2 linked regions of the Drosophila melanogaster genome follow. The protein of the gene in region 1 interacts with the protein of each later gene in a pairwise test. Each region holds a gene or a part of one and is shown on either strand. Other genes may lie near its edges.

Evidence for each region.
Region 2: the proteins of CG18731 (region 1) and CG13838 interact in a two-hybrid assay, tested with the Drosophila melanogaster proteins (2 studies listed by BioGRID).

Annotation. Positions count from the first base shown.
Region 1 is NT_033777.3:29,723,012-29,726,377, reverse strand, and holds CG18731 (uncharacterized protein), read right to left. Parts: upstream 1,352-3,366; 5' UTR 1,205-1,351; intron 1,156-1,204; exon of another isoform or gene 1,141-1,155; 5' UTR 1,124-1,140; coding exon 764-1,123; 3' UTR 688-763; downstream 1-687. Other genes in the region: Naa40 (N(alpha)-acetyltransferase 40), read left to right, coding at 1,512-1,882, 1,939-2,176; Pcd (pterin-4a-carbinolamine dehydratase), read right to left, coding at 2,232-2,531, 2,790-2,940, 3,022-3,149.
Region 2 is NT_033777.3:23,040,187-23,043,356, forward strand, and holds CG13838 (uncharacterized protein), read left to right. Parts: upstream 1-2,054; 5' UTR 2,055-2,146; coding exon 2,147-2,422; 3' UTR 2,423-2,483; downstream 2,484-3,170.

The sequences.
Region 1 (3,366 bases):
GTGTGTATTCTACCTGAGCTTTGGGCCAAAAAAACCCCCACTGCTCTCCCCACTCTTTCTACTCGTTGCTCGCTGTTGTTGTTGCGCTGGTCGAAAACCAAAATAAAATACACGTAAAATTCAATTAGCCACAAATTGTTGCACTCTTTTTTTCCGTTTGCGTTAATTGGATTTGCGGAATTTAGCCAAATATATTGGACCAAACACACACCACACACACACAGGGATAACCATCGACCTCCGTTAATGGCGTAAATGGTATAAGCCAGTCGCAGGTTTTTTTTTCTATTTTTTTTTTTTTTTCGTTGTTGCCACGGCCTAAAACCTGTTCTTCTGCCCAATCATCCAGGCCTAAACCGAGCGAATTTCACGACTAATCGTGCCGTTTTAGGACTTTCTGATCTGTTGATCTATGTTTTGATTAACTTATTTGCTTGGCTGCTTACTTTTCACAGTCACTGGAGCAATTGCATTACAATTGCTTTTTCTGCGCTTTTAACAACTTTTTTCGACCACCTTACCATCCACCAAGCAGTGTGACCACACCGCGCATTGACCGTTAAAATGTCAGGCTCAGAAAAATACACCTCGCGGTTGAAAAATATACCGCAAACGTACTTTGAGCTGAAGTTCTAGCCGGGACTCGAACCACAGTGCAGTGGGCCTAAAGTGAATATTCTCAAGATTGTGGAGTTTTTAGGTTTTACTTGTTACCCGCTCGTGCATTCAACAATAGTTTAAGATAAGGTAGCTTAATGATAGATTAACATTTAAGGGCTTCTTTGACCAGTGCCTGCTGCTTTTGGATGTCCGTTCTCAGTTTATCCGCGTTATTTTCCAGCTTCGCATAGCATTCTTTTAACTGATTTCGTTGGGTCTCCAGATCTCCCACGGTGGCCGACAGTTTCTTCACCTTCTGATCGTACTCGTCGAACATCTGCCACCATGTTGAAAGGGGAAGATTCTCTGGTTCAGTCATGAAAGCGTGCTCCAAGTCCAAGTTGTCTGTAGATCCGCTTATCGTAGGCTGATTGACCTCGAACGTTTCCATGTCCGCCAGCATTTCCTCTACACTGGGAGCCGTGGGTGGAGGCTCTACTTTGGGCCTGGACTTCCTAAACATCGTCTGTTTCCTTGAAACTACAATTTAGAGAACTGGAAACGTCAGCACTTGTTGAATTGGGGATTCAATATGTGGGGTTACCTGATGTATCGAGTCTCGTAGTCTTAGTGATATTAAGGTTAATTATCGTACTAACAATTTAGTCTAAAACCCGTATATAAGCCGTAAAATGGAATTCAATAAATTTTCTGCAATTGTTTACAAAACAGTGGTAAATAATGAAGTGGCCAGTAATTATTATTTCAAAAATACCAATTAAAGTTAATCTGTGTAATCGATAGCAGTCTCTATATAAGCAATAATAGTTTGTTTACCACTGTGTGCCATCCCTAATTTGCGCGGCATATTTTTAGTCGAATTGCCATTTTTACAAAATTTTAAGCAAACAATGCGGAATCAGGACGATCTAAGTCAGGGCGCCAAACAGAGATTTGTGGAGACGGCTGCCAGGGCCAAGAATCCCCTCGAATCTCTGAGCTACCAAAGCTACAAAGCCCCCAGCGGAGAGGAATTCAAACTCATCTGCCGAGCGAAGTCGGATGCGGACTCCAAACTGCTGAAATGGGCCTTTAAGCTGGCCGAGACGAACGTGGGACCCTATTACAAGCAACTCAAGATGGGCTGGCAGCCCAAGATCAAAGCCGCCGAGCTGAACAAGAACTGGGCTCGCTACTTGGTGGCCCAGAACGAAAAGAAGGAGAACGTGGCCTACGCAATGTTCCGCTTCGACATGGATCACGGGGACTGTGTCCTGTATTGGTGGGTATTCCATAAGTAAAGCCCTTATGCATTAATTACGTAGAACTTCCTTTCAGTTACGAAATGCAAGTGGCTGCAGAGTATCGTAGAAAAGGCCTGGGAAAGTTCATCATGAGCACTTTGGAGGACTGCGCTCGCCTGTGGCATCTGGAAAAGGTCATGCTGACCGTTCTCAACAACAACGAAGCCTCCATTTCCTTCTTCAAGCAACTGGGCTACGTCAAGGACGAGATCTCGCCAGATGTCCTGGAACAAGCCGACTACCAAATCTTTAGCAAATCGATGCTAAGCTGAGTATTTATTGGACACCGAAGATTATAGATATTTAGCAACTAGTATAACAATGCGTTTATTTCAACAAATTGGCCGTGGTCTCCAAGTGCGTGGCCATGCGAATGTCCTGCGAACTGAGACCGCCCACGTCGTGCGTGGACAGGGTCACGTCCACCTTGTTGTAGCAGTTGAACCACTCGGGATGGTGGTTGATCTTCTCGGCCAGCAATGCCACGCCCGTCATGAAGCTGAAGGCCTGGTTGAAGTCCTTCAGCACGAACTGCTTGAAGATGGCGTCGCGCCCCTCCACCAAAGTCCAGCCGGCGTCCAGGAGGGGCTGCAGCTTCTCGGCGCGTTCCTGTTCGTTTAGTCGTACCTAAAGGGCAGCGAGCAACAAGTATGTGAGTGTTATTGATTCATACGATATATATACAAAATAATTTGTGAGCGAAAAACCTCCATTTCTGGCCAAAATCACAGTGATTCTATTTGTTAGGGCATAAAGCACTTTCCGAAAGTCCAAACCTGTCCTTGGGTGGTCGATTGATTTCAGTTGGAGGCGATAAGGGAACCACTCGATTTCGCTGAGACTCCGTTCACCTTGATCTCAAACTCACTTTCGGCTCGTACTTACCACCATTTTGCGCTTTTTCGCTGTGATTGCGGTTGCTGTTGCTTCTGTGGTTGGGGTGTTGTGGATTCTCCGGAGATTCGCACTGCCACCAGTTGCTGCCCGTGCTGCTTCTCTCGCTGCTGGCGAATACAGAACTGAGATTTGCGACAGGCTGCGCGAAAAATAAAGCTCAGATTTAAGTTTGGTATTTTTGCCCCTCCCTCCCCTTCCGCACATTCCACCTTTTGAATACCTTCTACTCGTTGCTGTTGTTGCAGTTGTGGGGAATAAACCAGCTCTGCGGCTGCTGGCAAGCAGATTGGCCACTTTCTGGCAGTTCGGCTTAATCACATTCTGAGCGCATTTAATTGTTAACAACATTTTCGATCCAAAACTCGTTTGTTCTTAGCTGCTGTTTTTGTTGCTGTTGCTGTCGGCGCGGAACAGCTGACTTGTGTCGTATGTTAGCTAACATTGAGTTAACATGGAGCTGTAAAAACTGCCAACTTGTTTTGACAACGTCTGCTAGCAACATAACTGTTATAAAGTCTAATGCCGCGTAATTTGAATTTAGATTTCTTATTGGATTTCTTATTGA
Region 2 (3,170 bases), 6.7 Mb from region 1:
GGGCACGAACACGACCAGCTTGGTCAAAAAGTCCACGTTGTCCGCTGTGGTCAGCGGCATGGAGAATGGAGACGACGCTGATGGAGGCGAGCGTGCAACTGACTGCGGCGCTCGGACATCTCATAACCAAAGTGAAAAGTTGGAAAACAATAACGGGCAGCGATGCGGGGCACACATGTCCTGCCTGAGCAATCGCCTCCAAAGCAGTGTCCTTCGGCCAGGATGGCCACAACCAGTGCCGGCAGCCAGGGAAGAGGCTACACAGCGTGACAAAGTTTATGGACCACAATGGAGCTGCAGCTCACTTAGTATTCTCCGCTCGGATATAAGCTCGGTAAGGACATTCAACGTGGCACAACGACCAGGACTACTACCACACACATAAATTATATGCCTTTATTTGGGCAAAACAGTGTAAAACGCAAATGCAACCTGATGACAACAACAGGCTGCGTTATGCAGCAACAACAGAACCAGAAGAAGCCGGACCCAAAGACGTGGCAACAATGAGACTTTTCGGCAAACAAACGAGGCAAACTAAGAGCGCTTTTCAACTAATGACGACGAGCAGTAACAAAAACGTTTTCAAACTGGGCGGCGGCAACAAGTTGAGCCGTTTAGATTTAGAGCTTGTAAAGTGTGTGCGGAAAATTCAATAACCAAGTGATAACAACCTCAAGAACAGATCCAAGTTAACCCGCTGGAAGACCAGGAAAATCCACACAACCACTCGAGCTGAAGGATATCGGCAGGGTAAATGCACAAATGCATATGCATACATAGATGTATGTGTATGCGTATGTAGGCAGGCCGGAGAGATGACAACAAAAGCCAGCTTAATGGCAATAATAACAGATTTTAGCCAACCACAAAGAAAACGTCAACAGAGGCATACTTTTTGGCCACCATGCTGGCAGCAGCAGCAGCAGCAGTTCGGTTAATGGCAGGAAGTTCACTTCACAGCCAGGACGACACATCCTTGCAGCAGTCACTTTGAATGAAAATTCATTAAGTGAAAATGCCTAAGCCAGCAGATGAAACAGAAAGGAGCAGCAGTCCATCCTCTTAATAGCCGAAAAAAAAGACCGCATCGTTGGACAAGCAACCACATCCATCAGCCGGCCGATTGGCTCAATTTGCATGCAATTAAAAATAAATTGAGGCACCTTGTTCTGCGGCTAAACTAAATAGTGGCACCGCATTCGGTGGAGCCCACTTCCAATTTTCAGTACCAAACTGGTGCGGGGGTGGGGGGGAACGCGACCACCGCAGTATGGGGCCAAAAAAATTGATTTCAACTTCGGTTGCCGCCGCGTATTTATAGGCTGAATTGTCATTTTCTCCTCTTTTCTGGTTGCTGCATTTTTTTTATTATTTACTTCAACCCAATCCTGAATGCTAACAAAGAGTTCTCGAAAGGAGAGCGTAAAACAAACAAATCACGGACCGATATGCACACATAAAAATTCATAAATATTCTATTTTGAGTTGACATTTTGACAAGTGAATATGAATATTGCAGTCGCAGCGCACAAATTTATAATTGATATGTATAAATAATGGACAAAGCCATTTTGTAAATGGGTTTAATGAAATGAACGAGTGTAGCTCTTGTAATAGCTCGCCAATTACAAACAAAGCAAAACAAACAATAGTCGAAAAAGAAGAGTGGACTTTCTGGTGCCCTGGGCGCAAATATTTTTCAAAACATTTAATTTATTGTATTTGAAAAGTTGTAACGATTTTTCAAAAATATCCTCCTAAAATGGCAAGCAATTTACTTTCATTTTTTTAAGCAATAGACTTTAATAAACGTTTGATGAAAAAAAAAAATCATCAAGTTCACCCATTTAATATACCCCTTAAATCTCAATTTACAGGTGCCATCGCTTAAATAAAATATACTTAATATTTCACATTTGGCGTTAAAAGCAAAAGTACCCAAAAGCCAGTTAGCTGCAATTACAATTAAATTAAATTGGTTTATGGTAAGCAACTTTAATTATGTTCGATAGCAAAACAAACCAAGTCAAATTTGCTTTACACTTCGGATCGCATGGCACAAAATAACACCGAAAATCATGATTTAGGGTGAAAAAAATTTAAATTTAAATCGAAAGTTGTTTTCCCAGCCCTTAAAGCCCAGATGGACAGCGCCGATGAGCAGCTGCAGCTGGATCTGGACAGGATATCGATGGAGAGTCGCCAGGCCAGCAGTTTCGATGACCTCATCGAGCTGACCAACAACTCGGAGCGTCTGATGGCCAGAGTCAATTCCAGCTTGGATGACCTAAACACCGCCCTCGACAACCTGGAGGCTCGAACGGACCGGGTTCTGGTCGAGATTCGGAGGCTAATCAGCTCGGAAATGCCGGCACAAGGTCCGCACGATGGATGTGGCGATCCAGATGCCAGGGCGTAGGCGGGCGAATGGCTGTGATACGTAATGTGATAATAAATAAATGTATTTTATTTTCATATCGAAATCAATTGATGCTCAACTGCTCATAGGAATTGAAAAGTGATTGGTCGTAGCTCTTCTTCGGTTTCGAATCGAATGGGGATCGAAAACTTCGCGGGGGCATTGAGGCCATAGAGGCAGAAGATCCATAAAACGCCCGACAGTTTGTTTGTTTTTTATGAGAACTGTAACCCTAGCACACAAATAATTAGTGAGCTATTTTTATGGATCTTCGGATGCGGGGCTGCGCATGCGCAATGCGCATTGAGCAGAAGTATCAAGGTGCTGGGGGTCTTCATCCACAATCTTAATTAGAATTTACATACATTTTCAATATGCGTGTGTGTGTGTGTGTGTGTGTGTTTTGTATTTGTGCACATGTTGCACTGCATTTGAAGATCTCGTCGTGCACTTAATCACTTGAGCCGTCGGCACCATATGGGGTCCTTTCTTTTACTTCTTGTTGTCTGTGCCCCGCGGCATCTGGTGCATGGTATATGTAGTAGACTGAGCGGTATAACCTGTTAATCAGATATGCAGATTGACCCAAAAATTATGCCACAAAGCAGCTGCTGGGCGACAGCGTTTAATTGACAATTAATAAAACTTTTAATTTGAGCCCAATTGGCACATTGCACATTATGGTAATGGTAATGGTAGTGGGGTAGCATGGTAGTTGGTCAATTGGATAATGCCCACAGATCCCAGC